Drosophila melanogaster: one gene and its partners. The protein of the gene in region 1 interacts with the protein of each later gene in a pairwise test. Each region holds a gene or a part of one and is shown in the gene's direction. Other genes may lie near its edges.

Region 1 (9,878 bases):
CACCGCCTTCCACCGATGTTGCAATCCTCAAGGAGCACATCGACATGAGATTTGAGAAGCTGACGCTGTTAGTGTCTAAGAGACTGGACAACTTCGAGGCCCAGCAGACGGAAAAGTTAAACAAAATTATTGCCTTGCTGGAAAAGGAAAAATAAGTAATATACCATTAATTTGCTAATCTGTAATTTCTTTCTTAGCATTGTCATCATTGTATTTTGTAATTGTTGTAAAAGACTGTTGGTGCGAATATTTCGAATGTGATTAGGCAACATATTTAAGTTTGGTTTTGAATGTAATGTACATTAAATAAAATATTCTTCTCTTAAAATCATAAATTTTTTCTTTTTCGCTTGGAATATTTGAATTTCAACCACTTTCGATAGACCAACATCAGCTGTGCCCGAACCGAACTTTATCGATAACCACCTGTTGCATTTGTTTACGTTTTGTATGGCCGAAGAGAAAGTAAGTTGGCTTAAAAGCTCGTCATGGCCCAGATCGTAGGTTAAAGTTGGTGGGAATCGTCTACTTTCGTTGCGCGAGTTCATGAATTTATCCATCCGCGCTATTTCGGCCATCTGCGGCGTTTTCTTGGGCTGCTGCAGTGGCGTCGTCTTCTTGGAGCTCCTGGTTAAACTGGATCCCGGCGCTGGAAACCTTATAACTGGCGCCCAGTTTGCATTTATTGCCCTCGAGGGCTTCATCTTCACCTCGAAGTTTGGCCTGGCCCAGAGAGTGATCAGCCTGCGCGACTATGCGCTCCTCGTGGCCATGTTTTTCCTGACCAGCGTATGCAACAACTACGTGTTCAAGTTCAAAGTTCCAATGACACTGCACATGATCATACGCGGCGGTTCGCTGATCTCCAACATGTGCCTGTGCACGTTGATCCTGAAGAGGAGTTACCGGTTGAGTCAGTACATATCGGTGCTCATGATCAGCGTGGGCATTTTCGTCTGCACATATTTCTCCAGTCCGGATTTGGTGGGTAAGATGGAGAATTTGGATAGTGGCGCCGAGGCGGATACGTTCTGGTGGCTGTTGGGCGTGGCACTCTTGGTGCTGGCTCTATTTGTTTCCTCCTACATGGGAATTACACAGGAGTTGCTGTATCGACGTCATGGCAAGTGCGCCAGGGAAGCGTTGTATTACACCCACCTGTTGCCGCTGCCCGCCTTCCTGCTCATGCATGACGACATACGGACGCACTGGCTTTTGGCGTTCACGGGCGAGTCCTACCAGTTGCCCCTCCTGGGCGTGGCAGTGCCCCTAATCCTGCTATACTTATTGGGCAACGTGCTTGCGCAGCATTTGTGCATCAGCTCCGTTTACACCCTGACCACGGAGTGCAGCTCGCTGACGGTGACTCTGATCCTCACACTCCGCAAGTTCATCTCGCTGGTCTTTTCGATCGTATACTTCCGAAATCCCTTCACCTGGTGGCACTGGCTGGGCACCGCGCTAGTCTTTGTGGGCACCTTGATGTTTGCAAATGTGATCAGAGTTCCGAAATGAAAAAACCAGGCTGTGAAACAGGAATAGGCTTTCCAAAACTTTTTTGTGACGAACAATGTTATAATTCCATTTACATTTACAATTACATTTAAGTACAAATTAAAATTACAAGACTCATAATTGTTATGAAAAGAAGGCATACATTAAAAGTAATGAAAAACGTGATGCTCTGGACGATCTGCCAAGGGCTTTCTCTCTTTGGCGACTCTGAATTGGTAAAACACGCGACATAAATATTACACATAAATGCATTGGTGGCCCAACCCATGCAGTTGCAGCTGCGAAATCTAATACTGCTGCAGCCTTGATCCAGCCAAGCCGCAGAATCCGTTCCTTACGCTTGCGCCTCGTTCTCCAGCCACCGCACGATCGACTTGTAGTTCTTGTTCATCCAGTCGACGCTGGTCTCGATGTGCTCCACGATCTGTTGCACGGGTCTGTCGTAGTCCCAGTGGGCGTCCTTCACGAAGTTCTCAAATTCGCCCAGCTGGAACTTGGAGTTGAAGCCCTTCGTGGCGAACTTGAACAGCGTGTGGATGCTGGACATCTGTGAGCCCATGCTGGAAAAAATGCAAACCCTTTAGTAATGCACGGAATAAAGCGACAATTTCGCCACTTACTAGGTCTTGATCTCCTGCCAGTTGTTGCGCAGAAAATCAAAGGCTATGTTCTGGCCCACTACCGTGGTGGAAACTGCTGCGAATACCCGGAACAAGTCCTGTTTCCGGATATGCTGTCCGGAAATGCCGCGACGCAAGAAACGATAAAGCAACCAGGGCTCCTTGGAGCAGCCAAGTGCATTCAACAGCAAATCCTTCTCCCCAGGCACGTTCGTCTTCAAAAAGCGCTCGAAAGCAAAGTCCCATTCGTACTCGGTGCCGTATTGTATCGCAGAGCAGTAAACGACTCCCCTGAGATTTGGCACAATGCTGAAAAGGAAGTAATAATTTATTGGAATTGTGTTGAGTGTATTAATTACTTCGTTTATTGCTTACGGATTATTTGAATCTGGATTCGGCGTCTGCATCCAGTTCTGGAAGTGCCTGCTCGCCTCCGCGATGCACTCTTGGTGACCTAAATGACAGGCCATGCTCAGAATATCGGCACGCTTCAGCTTCACCAGGATGTCCTCTGATTCGTCCTGCGAGTCCTTAAAGCCCACCTGGTCGTAGACTTTCTTCAACTGCTTAAGCAGATAGTTCTGTGAGAATCAGAAATGTCAAATAATATTTATAGCACGCCCAATGGTTAAAAGCAAACCTTTAGAAGGTCGTAGTCGCCGGAGTTGACGAACATGGAGTCGATAAAAATGAAGTTGCTGATGGCCGCCTTCCACGGCACATGGCCCAATTCATGGCCAAGGTAGCGAGTCAAATTCATGGCGGTTTCATAGGACAGATAAGAACCTCTGGCCAGATTCATCACATCATCGATCAACTGGGCACGGTTCGCAGGAGCAATGTCCTCAAAGTTGTCCACATCCATCAGGTGTTCTGTGATCGCCATCCAGTTTTCTAGATCGTAGTTGACGCGGTAGTAACCTGTCTGTTGAACATTGAAAATGAACCACTTGGCCAAGGAGAGTTCCCTGTTCTCCAGCTCGTACAGCTTGGTGCGCGGCATCCATGTAGTCGGACGGGTGTTGGCAAAATTCAACTCGGAGTCAGTGGTAAACGTAATGGGTATGTACCACAGGAGACTCTCATCCTCCCTGGTGGTGTTGGTGTACACAAAGCGGACCTGCTCCAGACGAATCACATCGGAGTTGGGATGCCTTGACACCTTAACCACCGGATAGCCAGTTTGCAGCGTCCACGTATCCATGATCTCTTTAACACTTCTGCTGTCGTCCAGCAACCCAGAGGATTTGGCTTCAACGGTAAGGAAATGCCACAGATCGTCCTGTGTTGCAGAGTTGTAAGCCCTGAAAGCGGCCCAATTTTAGAATATACGAGTATAAATCGGTTATCATTCTCTAAGGACTTACATTTCCTGCAGGTATTTGCTCAGACCCCGACGGAAAATTGGATTTGTGAGGAAGTGGGCCATCATGCGAATAATAGTTGAACCCTTGGCGTAGGAAATTCTATCGAAGATTTCCGAAATCTCCTGCGGATTAAACACCTCGTGCGAGATCTTATGGGATGTGGAAAGGGCATCCAGTTGGAACACTGCTTGCAGCTCATTAACCACAAACTGGTCCAACTGTTTCCATTCGGGCGCAACTGCATCGGCCGTCAAGTACTCCATGTAACTGGCAAACCCCTCGTTAAGCCAGATATCCGACCACCAGCTCGGTGTTACCAGGTTTCCGAACCACTGGTGGGCTAACTCGTGACCCACAACCGAGGCCACTCGTTGCTTGTTATTGGCCGTGGCTACACCTGGGTCATAAAGCATTGCAGTCTCCCTGAAGGTAATTAGACCCCAGTTCTCCATAGCGCCCGCTTGGAACTCTGGCAGAGCAATCATGTCGATCTTCGGCAGGGGGAACGTTACATTGAAAAAGTCCTGCAGGAATGTGAGAATCCTGGGACCAACGGACAGGGCATACTCGGCCGATTTGATGGCATCCGCTCGAGCCCAGACGGCAAAGTTACCGGATGAGATGTGCGTAAAGTCGGATATGGCATAGGCCACCAGATAGGTGGACATGGGCAGCGATTCGGCAAAGTGATCCCACACATAGCTTGGCATGGTGGCGCTAAGAAGATCAAAGATTACACTTAAATAGAATGATTACTTTGATAGCAAAGGCAATACTCACTGATCGTTGCTGGACACAATGGGCATGTTGGATATGGTGGTCATGTTGCGAGGACGAGCGATGTGCAGCGTAAAGTTGGCCTTCAGCGCGGGCTCATCGAAACAGGGAAAAGCTCGTCGGGCATCTGTGGCCTGAAACTGGGTAGAAGCTACCCACCTTGTCTCGTTGTGCACCTCGTAGGAGCTGCGGTAAAATCCCTGCAGATAGTCCTCGATAATGCCATCAAAGCGTAGATGCACCACGTACTCCACATCTTTGAGCAGCTTGTCATACAGCTCGATCACGAAGAACTGTTTGGCCCCCACCAGGTACTGTTTGTGAATCCGCAGACCGTCGCCTTCCGGTTCACCATTGTTCTGCACTCGGTGGACGGAGGCGTCGCTACGCGAAATGTTCAGCTCCTCAGCGTGCATAGTGATGTTATAGCAATCCTCCAGCACCCTTATCCTTATCTGAACACTACCGGCAAAGGTGAAGTTGCCGCTGAGCTGCGGTTCGATTGTGATGTTGTATTTAAGCGGGCGGATGGAGTGCGGCAGGCGGACATCTCTATCGTATTTAGGTGTGTCATCATGTCCAGCCTTTAGCCTCCTCAAATGGTAGCTGGTGCAAACAACATCCTCATCGGAATCGGGCTCCAGTTCAGCGCAAGTGGCAAAGTTGTAGACAATAAAGCCCACTGCTAGCAGGGTGCAGATGAAGAAGGAGGCTAGCAGAATGGCGGTGGTCAGGGACACACTGTAGCGACGCCCGCCTTTCGAGAACGTGGTGGTAGTGGTGGGCGTAGCGGCATTCATGGGTCGGCTTTCCATGTTCAGATTCTCATGGAGCGGTATCTCCTTAACGACCATGATGGCTGCAATAGAAGATGAATCAAACTTTATAATGATGAACATAAACCAATAACTAAAACGGAAGATTAAGTCGTAGCCTAATAAGGTAAATGCAGTTCCCAATTCATAAACAGGAAGAAGGATCTGGGCAACCACTTCCACAACCACTTCCGCTGTAGCTTTCAATATGAGCCCAAGTAATATGATATCCAACTGCAGGTTGCACATTCTGCAATCTCGGGGTTCCACTTAAGTGGTTTCTCTGGTCCGGTGCCAACCCCTTTGGCTATCTGGTGTTTCGATTAAATTGCGTAAATTGGGCATGAGCCATGTCCTTGTGGCTGACAAGCGAAGCCACAGGAAGGGGCTTGCGAACAGGGCTTGCGGTTTTCGAGTAGGAGACCGTTTAGTTTGCTGCTCAGAAGGGGTCGTAGAGAACGTAACTGATTCATTAGCTCATCGTCGATGGGGAAAACAAGTGTATGATTTTACAACGAGTAGCAAAAAATCATTGCTCACGTAATAAGCAAAATGATGTATTATCCAGCAGAATATCTTAGTCGATAAAGACGTTGTTATACGCTACTTAAACCAAGAGCGCTTGGTTCTGGTTGGGTAAAGTATTTGAAAAATCTGAAGCAATTGTTCTTGATGTAAGGATTAATGTCATTAATAGGTTTATATGAAAAAGGGTTGGAATACTACCTAGTTTTTGTGCTCGTGCTCAATTGTAAAAATGAAACACACCCACTAAGACTGGAAAATATTAATGGCTGGCTTACGCGGCGACTTAAATATAAGCTTAAGTCACCTAGCGGGTTTTTTAGTGGAGCTCCGTTGGGTAGCCACTTGCAACTGGCTGGATGGGAAGGGTGTTTCCCACTGCCAGTGTCATCGACTGAAATATATATTTAAATTCGCAATATTTCCCATTCAGAAGTTGTTGCTGGAGTTGGAATATGCGTAGGGCATTTCCAATTCCCCGTATCAAATCCAAAAGCAACCCACACAATTATGATGATTTTAGACGTAAATTAAAGCAAGGCGATAATTGATTTTTACACTTAATAACTTAGGAATTATTTTTAAATAGGAAGAGCGTTATAAATACATGTTAATAGATCGCGATCGTGATCTTAACAATTAGTACGATATTGGGAAAGTCGAATTTTAGTCAATGAAAGTGGGAAAAGTTTCATTTAAATTAAGAAGAAAGGAATATTTGTATATGCTCTAAAAATAATCTGCTAGAATAGCTATACATTTCGGTTTACTATTACTATGTCTGATTGAAGACGTTCCTATCGCGATGTCAATGGCCCAGGGGACCCATTCTTGGGACTACTTTATATACTAAAAGCGAGTTTCCTCAGCAGCCTCTCAGATTGTAGCTGAACACAGATGTCTCCTCGTAGAGCAGCGCTATTATCAATTGGCAAAAGTTTAAGCACAAATTGAGCGGGCAACAACAACATTGTCGTAAATCAACTTATATATTCATGCAAATACGCCCGCCGGCTAATTGAGTTATGGCATTAATTTGATCAGCTTCTGTAGCATTTGCAGCATCTGCAGCTCCCTGCTCTTTCTCCTTCGGCTGATGATGCTACTGCTGCTGCTGTTTTTGCAAATTGCTGCAATTAAACGCCGACAACCATGTACAGAAGTCAACCCCGTCGCTGGCTCGATGACCTTCATTAAAATAAGGCTGCAAATGATACGCCGCCTCCATCCGCCTCAGCCCACTCCGCCCATCCCATCCCGCCTCCATGGGGTCCGTATCCCTGGGTCGCTCGCGCTCGTTGGGGATCCAATTTATAGCAATATTTCATTGATAAACTGCGTGTAAGCCGCTGGCGATGTGTCAGCATATGGCGATGGATAAGGCTAGTACACTTCGATTCACGCATTATTTGCTGGAAATCTTCAAAATTCCTAACTAATTAGATCGGACATATGTAACTTTGCTTAAAGTGAACCTTTTCATTTTGATCAGTGGAACCAATTTTATAGGACTAGAATGTACGGTTTTCTCACAGTGCAGACAGTTAATAAACACAAGGACATGAACGCCTGCGAGTGGGAAAGCGAATATTGACAAATCATTGGGAAAGTTGTGGGGGGGGGGGTGATATGGGAAGCAAAAGGGAATCAAGAGACAGCGGAGACAAGTAAATATTGGTTCTTCACACGCCCACAATTAAGACATTAAATTTAAATCGCGCGGCCTTTTACTCGCTATCAAAACAAAAACAAAAACAAAAACAAAACCAAAAACAAGAAAAAAAGAGAGCGCCAATTTATTGACCGTTGAGTGATGGTCCACGCGTGTGTAAGTGTGTGGGTGTGTATTCTGGAGGGTGGAACCGAGGGCCTGGGGTGTTGGAAAAATAGAATAACCGATCGCTGGGCAACTCGATAATTTGCACGGGTGCTCTAATTGAATTTTGGGGCAGTACCAGATGATTTCTGCAAATTTGACTAGTAAATAAGCGGGAGATCACCATAAATTGGCGATCATAAGGAAAGGAAAGTTTCTGGCTGGCTAATTTATGGGTCCTGCGTGAGCGTCTTGTTCTCGTAATATCGAGCATTTGAGGCTAGAAAAGTGTTTGTTTTTTTTTTATTTTAATCGCTGCCAGATGGCAGGCAAACTTGAAAAGCGTTTGCCAAATAAACAAATGGGGAGGGTGCAGATATAAAAACGAAATTAAACGAAGTGTTGATTAGTCAATTACCTTCCGACGTGCAAACCGCAGCCGGCAAGCAGAGAAAGAAATATCAAAGCGAAACGCACATGGCAAATGGATATTAAAATTGTTGTATTACTTGTGCACCTAGGATAATTAAGTACTTGAAGCGTTTTCACTGCACAAAAAGAAATGTGCTCAAATCGTTTAATGTACTTATATTTTTAGTTTAATGGTGGTGCAAAATGATCGCCATGCCAGTGCATTTTTCTCAGTGCACACACACGCACAAATCGCCCACACACACACATACGCAGCATTCGAAACGTGGGAATAATTTAATTTACCGTTTCACCTCCGTCCTGGAAAACCGTTTGTCGGACTCTTTCGCACCTTTACCGTTACGCTGGCGCGACACTGATTTGTGGTCGGTCACCAACACAAGCGCGCACACACTGTTGGCAGCCTGGCAGACGCCTAATTAATTGAATTAAATGTAAACAAATCACTTGTACTAAGGCCGAGCTGCCAAACTAATCAAAATGCAATTTGCCAAGGGACTATCACTAAACGGAGCACAGTTCTTTCGCGTATTTTCCCGACGAGCGCGGGCACAACCGTAACGGCTAACGGTTGAGAACTGAATAAGCGGAATAAACAAGCTGCGATGGAAATGGAATGGAAGCACAATGAGCGAGATGGCGATCGCGTGCGCCAAATTCGCACTTTGGCTGCGTGAGAGCAAAATAAACTGAGCGCTGTGAAAGCGGAATACTTACGTTTAAAATTGAATTTAAGCATTTTGCTTAAACAAGTATTGCTTAAAACTATTTCACTACTCTTTTTACTTATTTACTGCACTCCTAGTAGATAAAGTAACGGTTATGGCCGGTGTTTCGAGCTTCCAGGCTGCCATTTATTTGAACGTCGTATGAGTTACGCCGGCTGAATGGCAAAGGCGAAGAGGAAGCACAACTCGTAACAGCTGTGTCTTGTTGTTTAACTATTTACAGAAAATGCATTTGAACACTGTTTACATTACCGTTGGTACCACCAAATTCGATGCTCTAATATCAACTGCATCCACGGAACCCGCACTCAAAGCTCTACAGAACCGGAAATGCACCAAACTCGTCATACAGCACGGAAATTCGCAACCATTAACAGACGATGAAATACAATTGATAAGAAAAAACTACGGAATCCAGATAGAGCAGTACAATTTCCGGCCAAATACGGAGGACATCAAGTCCGCAGACCTAATTATTGGACATGCGGGAGCCGGAACTTGCATGGATATACTAAATAACCAGAAACCTGGACTCATTGTGATAAATGACACGCTCATGGACAATCATCAACTGGAGTTGGCCAAGCAACTGGCCGCTGAAAACTATCTGTATTACTGCAAAGTTACCGACGTGGATGCCCAGCTAGCTACTCTGGACTTTGAAGCCTTAAAGCCCTATGAAACGAAACCGGAAAATCTTAGCAAATTCGTTTCCGCCATCAATCAGCTGATGTCCCATTGACTCCCAATAAGCATTCCCAAATGCAAGCTTCTTTTGGTGCCAACCCCAAGGGGTTAGCCTTTTCTATTTATTTGAGTTTACAAGTATAGTTAATAAACAGGAGAACGTCTACGAAGAACATTAAATATTGTTAGCAATCTAACGTTTGCTGGGGCTATACGATATACATACATAGATAAATTCACGACAATTAAACATTAAAACGTACATATATGTTTGTTACTGTAACTGGTAGATTCCACTTATTTGGATAGTTAATTTCATATAACGCAATGAGACTCTCAACGTGCTTTGGTTGTTGCTCTGACCGATATTCCGCTTTATTTACTCCTCGGCGGCGGCAGCTCCGTTTTCTATGATGGCATCAAACGAGAAGGGTTGGAAGGCGTAACCCTGGCCCTTGTAGAACTTGCTCTGGAACTCGACCCTATGAGAAAGCCGTTCAATTAGATACCATTTCATACTTCTCGAGGATTAGGTGACTTACCAATGGAGACGCAGGGTGTGCAGGAAGGCAGACAAGCCCTCCATGAGTACCAGA
Region 2 (11,952 bases), on another chromosome or scaffold:
CAGATTCATGTTGTTTACGGTTTTCAGATTCAGGTCCTGTTCGACAAAGAGGTTCTTGAACGTTACGGGTGGCCAGGATTGCCCCTTGCCCTGCTGGTATATACTTTGTATCGGAGCTCCATTCACTTCTGGATACTCCAGTTGAAGTTTGCCTATTTTTGGAGCCTGATGAAAGTGAAGATCCGCTGCAATGGCTTCTCCACTGGAGAGGCGGTACAGTGAGGCATTGAATCGTCGTATATCGATTCCGTTTACCAGCTCAAAGTGTGCATCCTGCTCCAAGTGTAGAGTATTAGCTCTAACTAATCCCTGTAGCTCTTGCGGAGCTGTTATCACCTGGGTTTCGTTTGTGGGGCTCCGGCGAAGTAGGGCATCTTCGGCCAATTGAGTGAAGTTAAGATCAATTGGCAGGGAATGCTTACTTTGGATATCCTTTAAGTAGGGTTCCTTCAGTAGAACGTGTCCGGCAATGGTCTGGTTGCCCACTCTCCTGACTGCATGCTGGCGTAGGTAGTCTAGCTGGGATTGGGACTGCTCTTCACCATCCCATAGAGCATCGCCGGTGACTATCAAATTCCGCCAGGGAAGTTGCTGCACTTGCTCCACTCGTTGCTTGAGATCATTTAAAACTGCCTCATTGACAAAGGGACACTTTAGGCTGCCATTGATGTTCAGTTGCTTTAGGTAAAGATCTCCTTTTAGTTCTAAGTCTTTGCGTGTGTCTATAAATTCCTCCTTGGGTACCCCATTTATTCGATTTACATCCACATTGGTGGCCATCATGCGGTCGAAAGTGTAAGCACCACTGATTTGCTGGGGTGTCATTCGCAGTAAGGTGTTGTCGAGCAGGGAACTTAGATCCAAATTATTGATGTGAGGACTTTGCAGGGCATCATTTATTTGGACATCGGCCATGAATGTCTTTTTACCCCGTATTTCCGCGTTAGAATCAGATCTCACCAGGCGATCTAGGTACTCGTCCCATTGGATTCCATTAATGTTCTGCACTTGGACAGCCTTGTCAAATCGTACATTTCCTTCGATCAATAGTTGCTTGTGAAGAAGTAGGGGCTGTTCACCATCTTCCGAAATTTTGGACAGCAGTTCATCGAAGGGCAATCCATTAAGTCGCCGAAAATGAAGATTCTCCAGATGTGGGGTTTCGGTTAGTTCGAGGCGTTGCAGGCTGATATCGTGACCAAGCAGCTGTTGCAATGGCAATCCATTAAGATGACTCACATTCAAATGATCATGAACGTTGATATCATTCGCCACCACCACACGGGCAAAGGTCTTTGTACCCGTAAAGTTTTGGGTGGTGTTTGATTTCACCACTATTTCACTAACAGGTACTCCGTTTATTTCATTGGCTTGAAGTGCTTGAACAGTCAAAGGTGCCTGGAAGTGTTTGTGCCCCGTGATATTAACAGCGTCTCCATGACTCACTGCATCTTTTGCGATCTCCGCCAAACGGGAACTGTAATCCCTGCAAATAACATCGCCCAGTATGGTTGCATTCATAAAGATAATGTGTAGAGTGTTATTTGGGTGAGTATGTTGGTTCTGCTGTCCTCCGCTTAGGAGATGATCCCTCACAGGATGACCGTCAACATAACTGGTGGTCATTGAGGGAACACTAACTCTGGCATGTCCAAAGGTCAAGTTAGTGAGGTTCTGCGGAAAGACTATTGTCATTAAAGTGAATTAAATGAAGTTGAATCTCAACCTGTGGCGTCTGATCAAGAAGGTACGTAGATTGTATATCTTTTCTGGCGAGAGATTGGTTTCCGAGCACTATAAGTGAGTTTGCCGTGTCTCGCAGGACATTTGTGACCGTCAGGGATCCGCGGATGGTTACCCTGCCCGTGTAGTACTGTTGAAGACGTTGTTCCATTGGATCGTCGAGTTGTCTGGGCTGTGGCTGCCACTTGCTCGTATTGCCCACAAAAATGTCACCCGAAACACTCATCTGATTGATGCGAACAGGAGCTGAAAAATATGGATTTGTTAAATGATTTAATGGAATATATCAAGGAGGACACTAACTTTTTATCCATGTATCATTGCTACCGCGATGAAGTACATCGTGGGCAAAGTCAAGTCCATTTACTTGCTGAGCCTCCAAACGCGGAGCAAAGAAGGCGGACATGTAGATATTCGAACTGATCACCTGGGCACGCCGCAGATTAAAGAGACGATCCACCACGAGTCCGTTGAGCAGAGGTGTCTTTAGACTGTTCACCCGGACTCGCGATTGCATAACCAAGCGTCCTTCTATCGAAGTGTCACGACTGCGCAGGAAGAGCGAGTCCAAAAAGTCGTTCCACTGCACTCCGTTTATCTGTTCCACTCGGAGATGACGAACTACACATTCACTGCCACTGGTTTCCTCAGGCGCAATCTGGGCACCACTGGAGTTGCGGAAATCTTGGGGAGTAACCAATTGATTTACCCTAAGCTTTTTCGTCTGCAAAGGACTGTTTCTGATGGTCAACATAGGTGGTTTTGAGTTATCCAAAATGTGGCCTGTAAATTAGGAAGAAAAAAAAGATTTATATCATATTCTATTCCTGAATTCCCATACTTGCCTGAAATTAGCTGTCCCTTGTAGATAAGATTGCCCACGCGCAATCGTCGCGCTTTGAGTGTCTCCGGCTCATCGTTCTCGTTTCCTGTCCCAAAAGAGCGTGTGGTTCGCCTGGTCTGGATCGCTTTAAATCGTTGACGAAGTTCCTCCAAGCGTTGCTTTAATTGGGTGGGCGTGCGCAGATGTTCGTCCACCAACTGAAGTCTTCCTATTTGTCCTTGCTGCACTAGATGCAGTGGCGTGTCGAGGTGGATGGCCGATTTGCGTTTTAAGATGTCCACAATGTTTCTCAGGTTTTCTGTAGAGGAACGACGGCGCAGCAGGAGGCCACGTAAGGCATTGATGGACTCCTCAAACTCGTGACGATGCAATTGGACAACACTTAGATCTGTAAAATCACTAGTTTCAAATTTCCACTACAGAGTTATATTAAATGTACCTTCATCTGGAGCAGCGCCCACTTGGTTGGAGATTTCTTCCACGCCACCCAATTGCACAGTTCGGATCAGATCACTCGAGGATCTTCGATAGGCCAGCAAAAGAAAGGTCTCATTGTGCAAGTTTTTATGAATAAGTAATCCACTTGGATCCGCTTCTCCAGCCACCTGAAATCCACTATAGCAATCCAGGCGAGTGGAGCTGAAGACGATCACCTCGCCATTGGCACGGGCACCAATCAAAAGGTGACCCTTTTTGGTGGCACTCAATCGACGGAAACTCAAATCTTTTCGAGCATGCTTTCGGTACACCACAAATTGTCCATCCACCATTCGGAAGAAAATACACGAGGCAGATGCAGAGGAAGTACAGGCGATGAGGCAGTTCCTCCCGTGAAATCTAACAGCTTGGACACTTTGCGCCTGAACTGTCAAAGCCTGGCGTTGTTGCAGGATTCGGCTGTTTCTATCCAGCTCGTAGATTGTGAGCACCAGCTAGAGGGAAACATAAATGAATTAAGAACCATCTAAATTATTAAAAGTTATATCACCTTTGACTGGGAACCCTTTAAAGAACGACCAAAAATGATATAAAGTGGCTGACGACCAACCACTTGGAGAACGCGAATGGCGGGTAGAGTGATCTCCTCGAGTGGATTAAAGTAGGTGTCCAGCCACTCAAAGGTTCTGTGAGGAAGTCGTCAATATTATGAATGAATAATGAATCAATTTTTAATTGAAAATGTATGCCAATCCCAACCTGCATTTGCTGTGTGATCTGGTGTGATTGGAGGCCACTAGGAGGAGCACCTGATCTCCACTGGGTTTCAAAAGGTGCAGCTGTAGAAAAGCACCTGGCAGCGAGAACTCCTGGAGGGGCTCAAAGCTCACCTGTGTGGCTGGATCTTCGGATAGGAGCAGTTCCTTGGGCAACTGGTAAACCTCCATGGAATCATCCAGAACGATGGCAAGGAGCAGGAACTCCCGCCAGGCCACAACCTCTGCTCCGAGAGCTCTGCGACCACTGACCTGGCCCGCCAAGTAACCAAGCGGCACTAGACGCCTCTCCCCAGTGGCCACGTGCAGCTGAAAAATCTCGTGTCCATGGAGCAGTAAAAGTAGATCCTCTTCCGGTTCGCGGAGCACAAAGAGTGGCTTCTCATGGCGCACCATCATGTCCACAAAGGGCAGACGGATTTCCGGGCCAGAGCTACTGCCATTCAACCCATTGCGACAGGAACTGGGCAGCAGCTGGGCAGCACTCGGATCTCCAGCGACTTCTGCTGCTGATAATTCACTTTGTACTTGGGCGATATAGCTATTTAACACTAACACACTAAATAATGCTGCACACACGCTTGGCGAAATCATTTCGCAAGGATTGCAGGGACTGTTGTATCTAGTGATACTAAACTACAATGATATATTCAATCCATTCACATGGCACATTACTTTTGGTGTGCCATTTCTCTTGTTCGTAACTGTAAACCAATTTATACTTCGTGAGAGAGCTCTAGTATAACTGTAAAATGAAAAGAAATACTGTGAGTGACGGAAAGCGCGCGAAAGACAAAAACTCATCGAACAGTTGTTGTTATTCCGTTACAGTGGAATAAACAGAGTTACTATATGTAGAGTGAAATATGTATATTTTTGTAGTTCCTGGTTTTCCGATTTGAGTTCTCAGCCTGAATGTAGGCAACGGAAAGTGCTTTCATTTGTGCGCTCAACGAGCATTTTTCCCATGTGTCGCATTAGTTTTCCCCGATTTTCTCGGCACTCGTCAGTCAATCCGCGTCTCTCCGTCCTGCTTTCTCCGCCTGCAGCAGTGACACCTTGGACTGGGAATTAAATTTTTCGTACGGGGTTGGGCAGTGGGGAATGGGGCATATAAGGCTGGGGATCTAAAAATAAGGCAGACAAACTTGGAGAGTGCCTTCGACGTTTCTGCTGAATCAATCAGCTTCGATCATTAGTCGAGGTCATTAAAGACATTAAACCTCGAGCCACCAAAAAAAAAAAGATAGAAAGGAAGAGAGCATTTAACACGGAAGAGGGAATCGCATAAAAATAAATTTATATGTACGTATGTATGCACATACATACATATGTATGTGAAATATTTTGGGGGCGGAATGGGCCTTACCAAGTCACCCATAAATCCGCAGCTTTAACCTAAAAGGTGGCCACATTTGTACTTGCAGTTAAATCGGATTTAAGGCACATATAAATATGTATTAATAGGTGTACAAGAGGAAAACGGTATTCATGTCATCGCCCTCGGGGTCAGGATTTGGGGGCATCCGTTGGGAACACCCGCTGAAATATTTACTTTGCCCAAAATCTGATTGATCGCAGCATTGACATGTTATGCAAACAACATTCCAGTGTAACGAATATACAATTGTAAAATAAATAAGAGCAAAACATACAATCGGATGTTAAATTGAGGTGAACTTAAAATTTTGTAGATCAAAATTGGCTTTTATGTTTTAAACTTTCAAAATGTAACTTTCCTGAATGCCCTTTTAAGTTTGTACCATTTCTAGTTGGCTTAGTGCATGGCTAATACCAGCTGTTGGTTTCAGCAGATGTGCTCACTGGTTGCGTGCTGCCGATTTGGTTCATTTCATTTCGGTTTTTGTTGTGTCCTGTTTCTGTTGACCATTTCGAGCAGTTGCCGTCGCGCTTTTCGTGACTAATTAGCAAATTCGCGACACCCGTTTTGGGAGCATTTTTTTCTGCGTTCGTTGTTTGGCGTTTGGCGTCACAGGCCAAAACCCAAGTCACCCCTCCCCCAACACACTAAACCATTAACCATTTCGGACTACCGCTTAACGGTTAACAGAAGCAGCTGATTGTCATGCCTGCGGCTCATCAGCGGGCTCATAACGGCGCTTTTGGAGTGGCGGTCTGTGATTTGAGTGCCTCCCCAATGGGATACTCTTCTGCCAGAGAGAGGACGAGAGTAAGAGCGAGAGAAAACTCTTTCTCCAGTAGCCAAAACTCCCCAAAAAGCGCTCCGCTTACGCACCACTCTCGCTCTCCTTTTTCTCTTCCTTTTCTCCTCGCGAGTGAGTCACGCAGCTAGAGCTAGAGCTGGAAAAACATCGATGCTCGTCGCCGTCGATGTTTTCGATGTTTTATGGCGAGAACATTGACTATCGAAAAATAAACGAAAAATATTACTCTTTCTGTTCTTTTTGTGTGCATTCGTATTCGTATTAATAAATATGAAAATTAAAACATACAAATATATTTTATTATTACTTATTTATTTTCATATATATACATACACACATTTAATACGGGTTATACAAAAACTTTCGATTAACTATTATCTACAAATTTATCTAAAAATATAAACTCATTTGCAATAAAGGATTCAATAACAAAATTCAACATCAAAGTTAACAAAAATGTTCTGCAACATCGATACTATCGATGTTACATCGTTAATTCTACCACCTCTAGTACTGGCGGCAAGATCGCTCATTGTGCAACTTTTGGCCGTGCTCCGCGGACGTGCGCGCATCGTCAGGTTCAGTCGCATCGCAGTCGCCGTCGCCGCCGCAGCCGTTGAATTTCCAAATTGTTTTCGAATTTCCCGATATCGATTGGAAACCGAATTCGTTTTTAAATTTACTTTACCTTTTTTTTTTTTTTAAATATACAGTTTTTTTTTTGTGAAAATGCCAAATTTGCCATGAGTGTTGAAAAATCGTAGAGATCGCTGCGTTTTCCCATTTGGGGAGAAGTTGGAGAAAAGAAAACTCAAGATGAAACTGTGGAAATCGAAGAAGCCCATTGGTGGCTGTGTGCCCGGAAAATCGGCCGCCCTAAAACAGGACCAACAGCAGCAACAACAACAGCAACAGGAGTCGCACAACAACTCCTTCAATGGACACCATCATCCGCCGACGGACACTGCCTTGGCGCCCATGTTATCCGGTAAGTGATGGGGCTTTCCCAATCTTCGAATTTTCCAATTTTCCCATTTCCCCCAACCCACTTCCTTCCACAGCAGATAGCCAGCCAAAAATCATCTAAAAGCGCCCAACATGTGCGCTCCCATTTTCCGCTTTTCCGCCTTTTCGACTTGCCGACTTTCCGTCTTTTCCCCGCCCGCTCAGGGTTATCGCATTTCCGCCCAAGGTGCTTGCGTTTGGCCCTCAAGTGCTTGACTTTAGATATAGATTTGTATACAAATATCCGACGGTGTGTTTGCATCTCTATATCCAAGTATCCAAGCATCCAAGTGCTGTTGAAAATATAGTTTTCGCTCAGTGTGTGCTTGTGGGCCAAGACAATGTTTGACATTTTCAATTGAAAGTAATTGCTCGCATTTCGTTTTCATTTTCCGATCGCTCGAAATTTGTCAATTGCAACGCCCCTTCCCTCAAAGAAATAAAGAAACCCCCCATGGAGCCGATGGAGCTGGGTGACCTGACCCTTGATTACCCAGCGATTGGTTTAATAGGATCAGCAGGCAGTTTGATGGATTACCCGGCCATCGAATGGCAATCGAATTGGATTGCCAAATCAGTGAAGTTCAACGGTTCGCTGCTATATTGCTCTATATATCATGACTAATTGGAGCTGATCAGATAAGCAGATGATCAGATGCATTTCCCATCAATTGAAGGAAGACCTAATTGAATGGATTGCGCAATCTCAAAGAGAAATACCGAGAATTTGGTGTACCTATAATAAATTAGCTTGGAAGAAAAGAGTATCAGTTTCGCCCACCTCCATGGCTACTGTTTCAACTTTGACCTATCATAAGTTGAGATCTAGATAGGACACCCCTTTTTGAGGATCTTAAAAGCCGTTCCGCGAACGCTGTTCTCTTTTTATTTTCAGCTTTTCCGTTGATCTTTCGCGGATTAATGATCTAAAAGTGCCGCCAGGATGGACGCGAGGAAAAAGGCGGCTGGGATTTATGCCAGTTAAGGCATTAGCGGCGTAAAATGATGGCCCAACTCCAATTGCAACTGCAGTTGAACTTTCCAATGAATGAAAAGGCCAGAAGAGAAGGAAACCAGATACCGATGTGCTATGGGTGAAGTAGAGAAGCGCAGGAGATACAAAAGTATCTGCATCTGTTCGTGTGCGCGGGCTTAAATTGCATTTGATGAATTTATGGCATGGCAAGCGTAATTAAGCATTTAATTAAATATTTCTGATGCTCCGCATTGTTGTTGCTCCAACTGTTGCTATTGCTGTTGCTGTTGCCCCTTTTCATTGCTTAATTTTCTTGCGCGGAATGCCACAGATTGTATCTGGTAGATAAGGCCAAGTGCCTGGCCAGAATGCAGCTTCTGCTGGTGGCAGTTGGTCGATGTGGATGCGCTTACTGGGCCAGACAATCGTCAATTGATGCCAAATGACTAGATGAAGTCGTACAGCAGTGGTCAAGATAATAGCAGCTTGAATAGGTTTAGCTTAAGGCTTCATTATAATTGGTCTTGCTTAGTTTTCAAGTGTATGCATAGTGGAAGCTTGAAGGCCTTTCGAGATTTATTTCCCTGTTGAAACATAACATTTGATCTCCTATTGTTTCGACCCCCTGTGTAAACCTAATGGCACGCACGTTTGTATGTAGATGCATCTGCAATTGGTGGCTGTGGATGGTTGCCTATCCGAAGGCAAACAGAGGCGTGTACTCATCCAAAAGGGGGGGATCAAAAAGGGGGGAGGATGACCAGATGTCACTTGTTTACACAGTAATGACAGCTACAACAGCAGAAACAACAACTGCAGCGATTGATTTGACTGCTCATTTGACTCCCTCGAATGCAAACAAAGGCCTGAGAATATCGAAAGGTGTTCAATGTCAATGCACCGAACAGCCCAAAAACATCGGGCCCAAAATCAAACAGATGACAACTCCCCCCAATTGGAATCGAAAAAAGAACCCCTCACTCTCTTGTCCACTTTTATGGCACATTAAGTGCCCATAAAATCAACGACAAAACATTGGAAATCGTAAAAAGAGTTGGAACTACTCGAAAAATGTCGAAATGATATAATAGATCAACAGATTATACTGTCAGCGTTGACAGGCGGGCGATGGGAATACGATCTAAATTTGCATTGCTTCCCAAGGATTATTTCGGTAAAATAATACCAAAATAAATTAAAAAAATAAAATGCTAGAACATCTTAGACATTTTTTTTTTGATTAAATGACATTTGTCTTGGCAATAAATTGATACATTTTCACGGTGATAAATAAATGGTGAAAAAATGCAATTGAGGTCAGAGTTTCATCTTTTTTGTGATGGTCGAATCGAAAAAAGATCACGTCTGACATGGAAAATATTTCGAACTTATGAGGCGATTAAATTTATGGAATTTTGATGATTATTACAAGAGGTCCAATGACAAAAATCGGGAATGAATTGATAGTGGATAATTCCTTCTGTCTTTTACATCTACCATGTGTGTTCTTTTCTCAGATTTTATGCGATTTTTCATTGCATATGTCGATTTTTTATGAGCTGCATTGAATAAATGCTTGAAAGACAAGTAAAACGCCAAAAGAAAATGGGTCGCGTTCTGTCCTATCTATTTGTGGGTTTTTCCTTTGTTACTTTTTTATTACCAGTAAATTGAAGTGTTCGAATTTTACAACTGATTTGAAAGCAATTGTGATTTAACCATTTATCTGAGGGTATGTGAATTTTTTCTTTTTTACGATCGAGGGGGAGTTTTTAATTCCAAATGTTGTTCGCAACATGGTGTATTTTTTTTTTAAGTCCTTTCTATGCTTTAAGTGTTAGTTTTAAGTTTTTTTTTTTGTTGTGTATGCTTCTGTTTTGCTGCAATTTCCGAATCGTTGGCGACATTTGACTGCTGTTGATGGGTTTATTTTACTCCCTGGGGACGCACATCGCTCCTCCCGATTTTAAGCACCCTCGCCTTCGGGGATTTCATGCCATGCAGCAACAATAAAAATTGGGAGTAGGTTCGCTCATCCAGGGATTTTCATAATTCCCGGTCTATTTTACTATTTGTACTCCAAGGAATTGGGTGATATGTGATGGATGGAATGGGGTGAGATTGGGGAGTTTGGGGAATTGAGTGGATGGTTTAAGGGCGTCAGAGAAAAGGAGCGGGTTAACTCATTGCATTGTTGACGACGACACGAAGTCTATGCCTGCTTGGGTAAATATTCAAATATGTGTCCCTACACATGAAAAAATTTACATGTGCAACTTCGAAGGGTATGAAAAGTATAAGTATAATAAATATTGTGTTTAGGTTAGGGAATATAAGAGTTGTAGAGCTTCGAAAAACATTTCAATTTTCGGGTTCTTGGGAATACTTTTTCTCAGTGTAAGATTGTCGCGTCACTTCCCTGCTTTGTGCACCCCCCCCTCCCCCTTGCCAACCGTCCAGCTGCACTTTCCCATTTGTTTTTGGGCGTTCCCCCCACCTTTTCCCACTTTTCCAATTTTCGTGCCATGTGCGTAAGAGTTTTCTCCGCGTGTGTGCCCGTGTGCGAGTGTGTGTGTTTATTTTTTCGCCACATTGCGGCCATTGAGTGTAAACAAAAAGACAACAACAACAACGGCACGGCGGACATGGGCGCTGGGGAAGGGAGTCCGAAGTGCGTCGAAGGGAACTCAACAATTTGACGCAATTAAAAACAGTTGGTGCTATTTATCAGAGTTGGTCGCACAAGGGGGATTGGGAAAGAGAGAGGGTGTACTAAAACCCCCCTGACTTAAACCTCTAATGGAATTAATATAAATTAAAGCTCAAAATAAAGATAAATAAAAAATAAAAGAGAAATAACTATGAATGAATTGATATGATGTCCTTAAAGATCCCTTCTATAGCTAACTCAGCCTACGCCACTGAGCTTTGAGTGTTTTGTTTTCGAGTGCCAAAGAAGAGTGCTTCTTTTGTTTTGGGAGGCGTGAAAATCCTTTAGGGCCCCCATATCATAAAGCTGCCAAATCAAACGGAAGCGACGACGGAAGAAGCAGCACGTAAACAAAGCGAGCTCCAGGCAAATGACATTTGTGCCTGTTACCTCTTTCCCAGCCCCACCGTGCACAGTGGGCCGTATGGGCACAATAGCCACAGTGGGAAGGAATGGAATGGAATGGGTTGGGTTGCGGCTGGAATTGGAGTGGAATGAAATGGCAGCAGCTGCTGCCAACTGATAACTCAAAAGCAAAGTTCCGCCACAATAACTGTATAAAAGTTCACTGCACTTCCGTTGAACTCCAGTCGCTAGATGGAGGCACACCAACCAGGGTTCACTGTAGTCCACTGATTTAATAGGGATATTTCAATTCGAATGAAAGCGTTGCAAGTTAATGCGCAATTTGTAGAAATCAACTGAATGATATTCACATAGTACTTTAGAGTAAGCATAAGCATGTAATTATTTTCCTTTGACTTCCAAATGCATCGTGTAACTTTCCAATTTCCTCTAGCAAAAGTTTCCTTTCTCCGACATGTATATTAAATTTTTAATGGTTTTGGCATATATTCTAGCAATTTGCTGCAAAAATATATTCATACTTTCGGGCACTTTTCTTTTGAAGTTTTTTTTCAATTCTCGCCTATTTTTGACAATTACTTTGTGCATACCCAGAACCAATTTCGAACCAATTTTATGGTCACTTTTCCTTTGTGTGGTCTCCTCCTGTTTGTAAACAAATTGCTGGTCCTGCTGCTGTTGTTGTTGTTGTTGATGTTGTTGCAGTGGCATGTTGCAAACATTTTGCTGCCATTTATTTTTGTTTAATTTTCCTATTGCTGCCGCGAAATCTGCCACAACGACGTCACTCGGCAGCAAACATAAGTCGAGACAGAGAAAGAGAAAGGGTAGGGAGAAGGGGGGAGAAAATGAGAAATGGAGATGCAGACAGCAGGGGAATCACACATTTTAGATACACAAACTGATAT
Region 3 (11,797 bases), on another chromosome or scaffold:
AAATTATCTGCTATAATGGCGATAAATGTGGAGCTTGTTTTTTCAGGAATTATACATGGCAATGAATTTAGTTGTGTAACATAGAGTTAGTTGGATTACCCAGTTCATGATGAGTAGAAATCTTTAGAGCATCTGGGCGAATTTAAGTATGCAACATCTGCTGGAATGGGCTTATCCTGCATAAATGCAGGCTTCATTTAAAAATTTTGATGTGTCGGGGATTTTGAGTCCATCAATCAAGCCAAGATTAATAGCCGGCAATCGCGGTTGATAACGTACTTTTTTTTGGTGTCTGAGCTCATCAGTGACAATTTATCAATCATTAACCCAACCCAAATGGGCAACCATGTGATGAGGACGAGGGTTAACAATGCAAAGAGGACAACAAAATAAGCAGTAATTAGAAATTCATAGATAACATCAAGTGAAATTCGAAGCTCATATGGAGACACACCGAAAACCCACTGTATGATGAGGGGGAAAGGGACGGGAGAAAGGGTCCAACAGGGTCTGGGATCCACATACCACATACTCCACCGTGCGAGTGAGTGGGACGGGGCATACGGACATGCTAATCACGAACACAACGAAACGGCACGGACAAAATGGACAAAACAAAAACGAAGAACAACGAGAACAAGAACGAGAACGGGAGAGAGCAGCCCACAAATAAAACCCGATTCGACAAAAAACCGCTGCCTGCTGCCGTTTCTCGGCGCCTGTTCAAATAAGTTTCAAATTTTGACAAATAAAACCATGGTTTTGTAATTTACGAGCATTCCGAGCTGTTTTCATAATGATTGAGCCCGAGTTGAGTGGAGTGTTTGCAGTTCGCCGTTGCCGTTCTCGATTCTCGGGCTCTCGAAAACTCAACATCTCGACAACTCGGGTCGCAGTTCCCAGGGGAGTTAAAAGTACAAAATGCGAAAAACAAAATAAGGACCTCTCCTGTCTCTTATTTATTCTGCTTCTGCTTCTCCTTCTCCAGCCTCCCAGCCGTGCAATAAAACGGGATTATGTACGAGTGTGTTTTCGGTGTCTACTGTTTGTTTGTATATACGCTGGTACAGTGGAAGTTCCCTAAGTTGTTTGTCGACGGAATAGCTTAATTATGACCGTGGTAATAACTTTAACTACATGTATAATTAAATCAATCACATTTATCAAGTGATGCTCCTATTAAGTATTGATAAGTATTTCAAGTTACCCTGGGCGGGGTTTCACTGTGAGCAGTGAGTCCTTCTTCAACCAGTTGGTAGGGACAGGAGGTCGCTCCTGCTGCAGGCTGCTCGGGTGGCGGTTGATGGAGCCTAAAGAAGCTGCAGCCGACGGACGGAATGTGTCTAGACGTTTGATTACCGGGACAGACGCAGACGCAGATGCCGCGAGGTCGTGGCACAGTGGACTTAAACCGAGCTTCGGAATGCCCCCGGTTTGGAATGCCACTTTATTGGGTTTTCGGGCTTGGCCTGACTCCCAGACTCAAGCTGACATAAAGTGTTTGCTTATCAGCTCTTTTTCGTTCCCAGGCGTTGGTTTTGTCATCGGTGACACAGTGGTGTGACGGAGATAATGGGATAAGTGCAAAAATGGGTGGGTAATTAGGCTGGAAATTTATGGCATTATGTCCGAAGAAGATTGGACAATGGAATCAATATAATCCGGTTTTCCTTTCCGATAATTGAACTTCGAATCAGTTTCAAAAAAACACACAAGAATGCAAAACAGAAAATAATTTACCATTGTTATTTGACTATAAGCTAATATCTTTATTATAGCATCTCTCTTATATTTTAATTTTGTAAGAGTATAGGTATAAATATATTCAAAACCCCTTTTAAGATCCTTTTGCATGTTCAGAATCGCCAAGGGTCAAAAAAAAAGTAGAGTTAATATTATATCCGGTTTAGGGGGCTAGAAAACAATAACCATTCAAAACAAGGATCTACGGCAGACAATCCGGTTTGGAGATTACATCATCAGGCCGGTTTATAAGCCCGGTTCAGGTCGAAATGATCAAATCGCATTCCTGAATTCTCCACACACTATCGGTTTTGGGTTCTCGATTCTCAAGGTAACCCGATGCTGGCCAATTCCCGTGACAGGAAAGAAGGCACGTAATCTTGTTCAGGGTTGTTGGAAATCGAAATATGGCACTTTTCTACCTGACTACATTCGACATTTGCGTATATTATTCGAATAGTCGTTTTTTTTCCCCCGATTTCGTCACAGTGCATTAATCAGCATTGTGTTACCCTTTGTTATATTGTTAAGGTGCAAATTTCAAATCCATATTTCTCCATGTATAAATATATATTTAAATTGCTCAATTCCCAGCTGAGTCTGCCAATAGGTTGAGTGTTATTTTATATCAAAGGGCATTCAATATAAAACAATTCAAAACGTATCTGGGCATTTATATATTTAAAAACTGCGTTTATTTATGAGGTTTATATAAAGAAACAGTTTAAGAATAGAAAAATGTAATAAACTTCTGTTACCATGCCGACCATTTGGCACTCATTTAACCACTGTGCCTCTAAAATCAAGGACTCTCGATGGCTGAGCTAAATTTTTTGCACATTTGCGGGTTTCTTGCGCACAATGGTCAAAGGGGCGCGAATCAAACGGGGGCCTTGACTTTTGCACTTTTGGCGAATTTTTTTTACAGCAGGACATACAGCAAATCGGACGGAGGATAAAACAAGAACCAAAAAGAAAGATACAAGGCACAAATACCGAAAGACAAGTAACTCACCACGACGGGGGGTGTCGCCGGAGGTGAAGGTGGATAAACAGGAATTTCTGCCTGTTCTGTTTTGATTTTTCGCTATCTCTCTCTTTCGCTCAGCTGCTTCTGCTTCTTCGGTTTGTTTATGTGTAATCCTTTTGTTTCTTTCGATTTTGGCGCGCAATTTTCCTTTTTTTTATTGCTATTGTTTTAGTTGTTGCTAATTACTAATTTGCAATGCAATTTTTCAAAACACGCGAAGCCGTTTTGTTGTGGCCGTTGTTATTGTTGCGTTGGCCGTGTGATTGCGGTTATAGTTGTCGTTGCGTTGTTGTTGGTTGTTGCTAGTTGCTGTTGTTGCTTTTGCAACTTTTTCACAATTTGCATTTCACGTATTTTTGCAGCAGCTTCGACGACTTTGACTTTGTTGCACAAACACAGGCGGAAAAACGGCCACACACTAACGAACTGAAAACAACAAAACAATCCGAGGAAGCTGCTGGCGTCTCTTTTCCTTCGATTTTTTCCCAAGATTGCCAATCCGATTTTACTGCCTGATTTAGTGTACTTTCGCGAATCTATAGTTATTTCCGCAGCCAGTCATTCAAAAACGAAAATGTAAACGAAACAGTGGGTTTACATTAATATATCATCACATAAATATGGGTTTTTTTGAATCCCAAAAGCATCTCGTGTTACTTAGCGCGACAAATCGGTTTCCGACGTATACTCGTTCGCTGAGATGTTATTCCACAGTGGTATTTAATTTGTTTTTACTCTTCATGCGAGGAAAGCACCGTACGCGCACGCTGCTCAAAACGGAATGAAAACAAGAGCTGTCGCATCGTTTCAGCCGAAAAATACCGAAGCATGCTGAAACTTCGAAAAATACCGCAAGCGAGAAACGATGTTTTTTCATCTATGGCAAGTCGACGTCTATTACCCTTTCGATTAATAGAAATAAAATATTGCATATTTATTGAAGTAACGAAGTTTGTTGCATCCCAGAGTTTTGTTAAGGCATAAATAAAGTTCCATAAGCAATTTAAAGACTATTTAATTAAATTGATTTCTAATTGGCATATGAACGAACATTTATTGGTCGTCCAGTTTAGAGTACATATTTATGTACAAATCGAAGTAAATTTTTTATAATATTAACGCACGGTTTATCAATGGCACAAACCATCAGCGATTCCCAAGCCATCCATTTTTAGCTATGTTATAGCTATAGAAAAAGCAATCACAAGCAAAATTAAAGATAATAAACAATATTAAATTTAAATGGCCTGAGAACAGTGGAATGCATTTTTATGACAGGCTTTCGAACTCCGTACATAAAGTACATTTACCGTACCGACCCAACAAAGAAGTGGCGCCGATAAGCACAATATTTAAAAACCGATAGGCACACGTTATTTGACTTTTTGTCTGCAAAAGCTTTCTCGTTTTAAGGAGCTTTGATTTTGGCATCACCTGCAACAAAAGCGGTTTTCAGTTTAGTTAGCCTCTTTCTCACAAACAAGTCGGTTGTTTTTGCGCTGTTGGAGGAGTGAAATTCTTAGCCGCGCTATTGTTTTTGTTGTTTGCGTGGCGTTGTGTTTATAACAATAACAACAAGTGATTATCACTGGAAGACATGTTCTGTTCAAGTAGCTAAGCATATGGCTGGCTAAGAAAAAAAACACAAGGGTTATAACCCTTTTTTGGCCGAAATACGAGACTGTCCTCCGGGGTTACTTCATTCGGTCTGTTATTTTGGCCACCTCCCAGTTCCTTCAAAATGGTTCGGTGGAGCGCGCGGTCGCGGCGCCAAGCTCGCCAGGATAAAGTGGAGCTATTGGCCAGAAACAACAAAGTGAATGGCGAGGACGATACCTCCGATAACGGTACGTGCCAGGGGTGTCCTCAAAAGGAGAATTTTAAGCGAAGTTCATACGAAATTCCAAACTATCATTTTATTGTTGTTTCTTTTTCCTTTAAGGCTCTGTTAATAAAGTTTTAATTTTGAAGATTTCAGTTGTTTAAATAGTTAAAAGATTTACAAACTAAATATTTCAATTCATATTCAAAAAGTGAAACGAGACAAGAGTTATGTTGCATTTCAGTAAGCCTGCTTGAAGTAAATATAATGATTTGTACTCATAGCTAAGAATAATCTGAAACCTGTTTGAAGATATGCGGTCTTTAAATGTATTTACAATAAATCGATAACAAAGAATATGATTATAAAACGAAAAATCAGATGCATGTATATCTAAATATTTCCCTCTAGAATTCCATCATTGTATGAATTGTATGAATTGAAAAGGGTAGCATTAAGCTGCCAAAACGAATGTCATTTCATCTGTTTCCGATTGTCATTTAACGACTGCGATTAATCTAAAACACTTTCGCTCCGTTTTAGCCGCCTTTCGCAACTCGACTGACCTATCCGACCACGATGAGATCTTCCTCAAGGGATTGCTGCGTAGTAACTCCAACACGCCCCACAAGGAACTGATGGCAAGTAGACCAGAACATATAAACGTAAAAAGGCGAGAGAAAATATCTCTGTACAATTTCTGACCCACTTAAACGCCTTCGAGCATCTGCTCAATAAGAAAATTGCGCATACGGTTTTCCACCCATTTTCCATACCCAGCCACACACACGCACACACTTTCCACATTTGTGTTTACTTCATCGATGGCATTGCATGCTGATTTTTCGGTCTAGATAGAATTTTCCGGGCTGCTTGTATGTGCGTGTGTTTGCTTTTCTTATTACATCATTTTCCTTGCCTCCACAAGCGCCAAAAAGAAAAGAAAATCCTTCTGTATTTTAAAAGATTTTCTCGCTTTAGCCATGCACTGCAATTGTTTTTTTTTTTTTTTTTGACTTCGTAATGGCCCATTAGCACTTGCTATTTTATTTTTGCCTTCCTCTTTTGAGTTTTCGCACTAAACTTGACCTCTATTGCCTCGGCAGATGAGTTGCCTTTATGCAGATGGGAGGCATTTTATTAGATCATCGTGACATAACCATTGAAGTGGAAATTATCTTGACCCGACACATTTAGCGCCTCCTCGAAGGTTTCTTACGGTAAAAGAACTGCCAAAAAGTTTGTAGCCTAATCAAATTGTAAATATTATTTGCTGTTCCTGCGGCAAACACGCAGGTCAACTAGAAAAACAATGAGAGGCAGTTACAACCAAAATTAAAACGAATTTGTTGTGCTCTGTATACAAGAAAAATAACAAAATATTTTAATTAATTTTTAAAAATTAATTTTCAAAATTGAAGATGCCCTTTCTAAGATGTAAAGTTATTCTGTTGGCGAATAATAAAGAAGTGGGGAATTAAATAGTATGTAAAAAATAGGCGTAAAACAATGATTATTAAGACCCAAACTAGCAGTACGGAAAAGCCAAATACAACAAATATTATGGAAAGCGACATCGTGTGACGACGACCATAATTAGAATCCAACATTTTCCGAGGCATTTTCCTGGGCAGGCTCATTCGTTTGTGGTTTTCTGCTGTGGTCGGCGGCTGTTGAGAAAGGCAGTGAAAGTAATTAAGCCACGAGTCACGAGATAAGAAAATATGAAATGTCACTACCAGCTCCCCTGTTTTCCTTTCCCCAACTCGCCTGTCGTCACCGCTCCTTGGAACACTCCCCCATTTTATGCAGATTACATAAAACTCGACGCAAGTCGCCGTGCCAACTCTTTGACATCAACGCCCCAAAGAAGTTGTGTGTATTTGAGTGTGAATAAGGAAACCGGTTTGGAAACATTTTCCAACGTAAACACTACGCTTTTTATGCTACCTGCGCTCGAAAACGATGCACAAAAAGCGCCCAGCTCGTTGGCCTACTAATGCAGCTGTGGTCGGGAGATCGAAAAAGCTTGCTATAAGATGCTGTTAAGATCACTGAAGTAGTTGGTAAAAACATTGCAAAGCATGTTATAGCCAAACTTACTTATTTAAGGTTCTGTTTTACTGAACAAAGTATAAAGCTAGTTAAATAAATATGTTTCAGCAACATTTGAATTATAATATTTGGAAAGCTAAGATCAGATTATTTAATTTCAGTATAACATTTAACAGAACATTTTAATGTTGGTTATTGTTATATTTTAGATATACCCCAAGTATGTACATATTTGTATTTTAAAAAGTTTTCTACAGTTTCAAATGGTTTTCATTAACAGAAAGAGAGGGCGCGTCACTGCTGGTTTTAAGTCACTGTTAAGTACAAGCTAACATGTGGATAACAGACTGCGTACAGTTGTAACTTGGCTCACGCGGAGCTTTTTTCACGGCAAGCCAGCGGCAAGCGAACTGAGCAGCAAACAAAGCTAGCCCTAACTTGCTCACTAGCTCTCGCCGCTTGCTTCCATAGCTCGTGAGTCAGTTAGTTGCGAACAGTGCTAAGGTGAGGTTCACATTCCGGTTTGAAACGCGCGCTTCGTTGGTTTCGGCCCATTCGAATGAGTGAGCATTGGTGCCTGACTGTAGTATAGGTGTTTTCACGGTGGTGTTTGTGAGCGTGGCTTAAACGGGCGGCTTGAAACCGAAAAGCAACAGTTAGTTGGTGCTCTCTCTGCCCTCTCTCTTTCGAATTCAACAATGTTCATAAACCATTTTCCGTGTGAAAATTAATAAGCCCACTTCAGGTGCTAATTACGAATCGATCAATATTATTGTAAAAACGGAAAAACGAAAAACTGGAACAGTTATTAGTGTGTTGTGCTAGTGCCTTGGTAACCCCGCTGCATAAAGCTTTTCCGAGCTTGAATTGATGACGTAGTCGCCGAGAACTGTTTTGTAACCTGGCCAACAAGCAGTAACTGTCTTGGCCATGCTTTGGCATTTCCAAAACCCCAAACTCCATACTATGAAACTCAAAAAGAGTGGCTCTCTCCACACGCACACATATGCACGACAAGCGCTCATCAGCGTTTTGGGAGTGGCTCCAAAAAAATAAAATAAAAAACAAATAAAAGTCAACTAAAAATATGATCAACTGTTAATGTTATTGCATACTTAATGCCATTAAGGTCTTATAACTTTATCTAGTTGCTTTGGTTATTTTAGGTTAAATATTTCACAGCCACAGCCTTCGAATATGAAACAAATTCGCCACTTGTTTACGTGTGTCTAATTATCAGCTTGCTTAATTAGTAAGCACCTGTTGCGGTACACAATATTTTGAGGCAATTTTAAACTGACGTTGTCATGACGAAAACATTTTGCAGAGTGGAGGTGAAAGCCCAGGCCAAAGTATCAATAACAAATGTGGGTGTGTGGTGAAAAAGGGTGGGGACTGTCTGTCGCGTGGGGCTTCTTCACAGTTTTTCACACGGAAAAGGGCTTAGCTAGCGAAAATCCGTAGAGCGCTGCGGAAATACGATCTTCGCTGGTTCGATAAATAAACAAACAAAAGCAGTCGGGATTACTCATCCACAAATATATTTAAATGCGATCAAAAGCTTATCTTGGAATACCATATACATATATCCAAAAGTATATTTTTGTTTTATGATAATGAGTAGTAAGAAAACTTCCAATCACTCATTCAAAAGAGTTTTACATAGCTCAAAACTCACACTTATTAAGCTATAAATAGTAGTTGGAAATTCCATTCAGTTTTATAGAAACAAACAACTGACAAGTTTCCCAGAATAGAGTTCTTGTGCAGAGAATGCATTCCTCTCGCTTTCTGCTTATCAATTCTCCGGCGATAGTGACGCTCTTCGGATTCCAGAGAGCGGAGAAGAAAAGCCATCCCACGCTAAATTCGCATAAATATTGCATGAGCTGACTCAGATGACTTTCCCATCGTGGGCGGAAATTGCCGATGGGCCCAGAATAAATACAATGGACGCAAGAAGCAGGGAATAACAAACGCTGTAGTTGTAGACAGGGACAAATGGAGCCGGAAGATGAAATTATGTGCAATTAAAGCAGAAAACTCACTTTTCATGCGACCCAAATTCAAATGGCAAGCGACCCAATTTTTGACCTAAGACTCCACACACTGTGTTGTCAGCGTGGACCTGAGTTCACCCGGGGTTAAATGGCATGACATATGTACATGTATACATATATATTGAGTACATGGAGAGCCAGAGAAGTCTGCCCAAAAGCTGGACCAATTAACGCACTCACTCAATTAAGTCGGAGGCATCTTAACTTGACCTAGGGCAGGCACGCCCAGACGAAGAGCTCTGAATTTAATTAGCCGCACATGACGAACTCATCTCTCCGCTTCTCTGCCATTCCAGCTGAATCCGACCGAGCCGCAGCCAGTGCCACTATTCCTGCCCGCTCATCTGAACAACAAGCCCATCTGCGACGACATCATCCGCAAGTTCTCACCCTCGAGGCGCCTGGAGTCGCGAGAGCTCGCCAAGCTTCTCGCCCAGCCGCATTTTCGTGTAAGTAGCCAGGGAAAGTCGTGGCGAAAGCCTCTCTATTTGGCTAGTTAGATATGAAAAACTCAGCAAGCAGGATATAGTATGGAACACGTGGATCTGACCATCCGAAACAAACGATTTTCTTGCATCTATGTATGTTTCTGAGATGCACCTAAGATATTGTATCTTTGGCTCCTTCTGCATCCGGTAGCTACGTAATTGTATATCAGTTGCTGAGCTATCCAACATTTAAAACAAACACCAGCCAGGCAATATCAAAAGTTTTTATTGAGACTGCTGTCGTTTCCTTATTGCTGAGTAAGGTCTGCCAAGAAGGCAGAAAACGTGCTCTTGATATGTTTGTTTTTTTTAAGCCATAGGCCCATCAAAACATGATGCACCCTTTCCATTAAGAGATGAACCATGCTAGTATAGACATTGTTTTAACAACTTATGTATTCTTCCTTCAGGCTCTTTTGCGCGCCCATGATGAGATAGGAGCACTCTACGAGCAACGACTTAAAGCTGCCGGGGGATCCACCAGCCAACTAGAGATCGCCAGCCAACGCCAAACGGGAGGCTACCTGTTCACCGAGGACGTCCTCAACACCAAGATGCCAGTGGAGACCATCAAGATGGTGGGTCTGCGCCGAGATCCCAGCAAGCCGCTGGGCCTGACCGTCGAACTGGACGAATTCAAGCAGCTGGTCGTGGCCAGGATTCTGGCGGGCGGGGTGATCGACAAACAGAGCATGCTGCACGTTGGCGATGTCATCCTAGAGGTGAACGGTACGCCCGTTCGCACTCCCGATGAGCTGCAGGTGGAGGTGTCGCGGGCCAAGGAGAATCTCACCCTCAAGATCGGGCCGAACGTGGACGAGGAGATCAAGAGCGGTCGCTATACTGTGAGTGGGGGTCAGGTAAAACAGAATGGCATCGCGAGTCTCGAGACGGGCAAGAAACTGACGGTAAGTTCGATGTTTGGCTTGAAGGTTCCTCCCACAGATTGCTGCTTGCTTGCATGAGCCCCGATTAGTTGGAAGTTTATCCTAATAAGTTTATTGGCCAGTTAAAATTCAAATAATGAATCTTGAACAATGTTCTTGCCCAGAAAGGGTTTTTAGTTTGTTGTGCTTGCCAACTTACATGTTTAGCTATCCAGTTGTATGCTAATTACTCACTTATGACCGTTTTTATTTGTAAGCAGTAATAGTTTAGTTATCAAACCCAACTTACTCAAAATAATGATATATATCATCAACGCAATAAGTTACTATTAGACAAACATACAACGAATTCCCTTGAAATTTCTCAAATCGCTTGCAACTAAGTAAGTAAATCTTGGCATAGTAAAGCTACTAAAAGTGATAAATGCTTAAATAGTAACAAGGTTTGTGTTCTCATATACCAACAGTGCTACATGCGTGCCCTTTTCACATACAATCCATCCGAAGATTCCTTGCTGCCATGCAGGGATATTGGATTGCCCTTCAAGTCGGGCGACATTTTGCAGGTGAGTTGGTCAGAAAAAAAACAACCCATCTAGTTATCCTGATCAATGTACATCATCCTGGCATTGCAGATCATCAACGTAAAGGATCCCAACTGGTGGCAGGCCAAGAACATTACTGCCGAATCTGACAAAATTGGACTCATACCATCCCAAGAGCTGGAGGAGCGGCGCAAAGCCTTCGTGGCCCCCGAGGCGGACTACGTTCACAAGATTGGCATTTGCGGAACAAGAGTGAGTTTTCATAGTATCGCAATGGGCACCCAGTAAACATTGTGTGTTGCAACAGATCTCGAAGCGAAAGCGCAAGACCATGTACCGATCTGTGGCCAATTGCGAGTTCGACAAGGCGGAGCTGCTGCTCTATGAGGAGGTCACGCGGATGCCGCCGTTCCGCAGGAAAACCCTGGTTCTCATCGGTGTTTCCGGGGTGGGAAGACGTACGCTCAAGAATCGGCTGATCAACAGCGATGTGGACAAGTTCGGAGCGGTCATTCCACGTAAGCACAATTTAAGCTATCATTTTGGATATGAATATTCATAAATGCATTGTATTCGCGGAACCACTTCAGATACCAGTCGCCCCAAGCGCGCCTTGGAGGAGAACGGCAGTAGCTACTGGTTCATGGACCGCGAGGAAATGGAAGAGGCCGTGCGGAACAACGAGTTCCTGGAGTACGGCGAGCACAATGGCAATCTGTACGGCACGCATTTGCAGTCCATCAAGGATGTGATCAACAGTGGGCGCATGTGCATCCTGGATTGTGCACCGAATGCCCTGAAGATCCTGCACAACAGCCAGGAACTGATGCCTTTTGTCATCTTTGTGGCAGCGCCTGGCATGGAGCAGCTCAAGACCATCTATGCGGATCGCAGGGCCACGGGCTCCAACCGGAATTTATCTGTATGTTTCACGTAGCCCCCTAGACTAGGCACTCCTCTAATGCGAGCACATATTCCACAGTTTGATCGCCAGAGTTCCATAAGATTCAGCTCCAGACGCGCCCGTACGCTCGAGTCCCTAGCGTCGTTGTATGAGGTAATGTGCCCTGACCTATCCTTAATTACAGTGTCGTATAAATTGTGCTCAACTCAATCATCCGCTTGGCGCACCTAGGCCACCCTAGTAGCCCTGTTAGATCTCTGCCT

What was found.
Region 2: the proteins of Alg13 (region 1) and Grip interact in a two-hybrid assay, tested with the Drosophila melanogaster proteins (one large-scale study listed by BioGRID).
Region 3: the proteins of Alg13 (region 1) and vari interact in a two-hybrid assay, tested with the Drosophila melanogaster proteins (one large-scale study listed by BioGRID).

The regions. Positions count from the first base shown.
Region 1 is NT_033777.3:29,137,470-29,147,347, reverse strand, and holds Alg13 (Alg13 UDP-N-acetylglucosaminyltransferase subunit), read left to right. Parts: upstream 1-8,774; 5' UTR 8,775-8,821; coding exon 8,822-9,337; 3' UTR 9,338-9,378; downstream 9,379-9,878. Other genes in the region: CG11882 (uncharacterized protein), read left to right, coding at 1-155; CG14511 (uncharacterized protein), read left to right, coding at 547-1,515; superdeath (suppressor of ER stress-induced death), read right to left, coding at 1,850-2,075, 2,136-2,444, 2,511-2,716, 2,776-3,439, 3,503-4,219, 4,283-5,138, 8,585-8,606; Vha100-1 (vacuolar H[+] ATPase 100kD subunit 1), read right to left, coding at 9,662-9,764, 9,825-9,878.
Region 2 is NC_004354.4:5,959,763-5,971,714, forward strand, and holds the start of Grip (glutamate receptor interacting protein), read left to right. Parts: upstream 1-6,516; 5' UTR 6,517-6,803; coding exon 6,804-6,975; intron 6,976-11,952. Other genes in the region: fs(1)M3 (female sterile (1) M3), read right to left, coding at 1-1,674, 1,727-1,989, 2,047-2,526, 2,589-2,975, 3,027-3,519, 3,576-3,711, 3,785-4,395.
Region 3 is NT_033779.5:20,789,476-20,801,272, reverse strand, and holds the start of vari (varicose), read left to right. Parts: upstream 1-4,230; 5' UTR 4,231-4,514; coding exon 4,515-4,620; intron 4,621-5,138; coding exon 5,139-5,236; intron 5,237-6,017; exon of another isoform or gene 6,018-6,265; intron 6,266-6,334; exon of another isoform or gene 6,335-6,467; intron 6,468-7,126; exon of another isoform or gene 7,127-7,213; intron 7,214-9,006; coding exon 9,007-9,159; intron 9,160-9,608; coding exon 9,609-10,106; intron 10,107-10,552; coding exon 10,553-10,651; intron 10,652-10,720; coding exon 10,721-10,882; intron 10,883-10,937; coding exon 10,938-11,148; intron 11,149-11,220; coding exon 11,221-11,552; intron 11,553-11,612; coding exon 11,613-11,687; intron 11,688-11,797.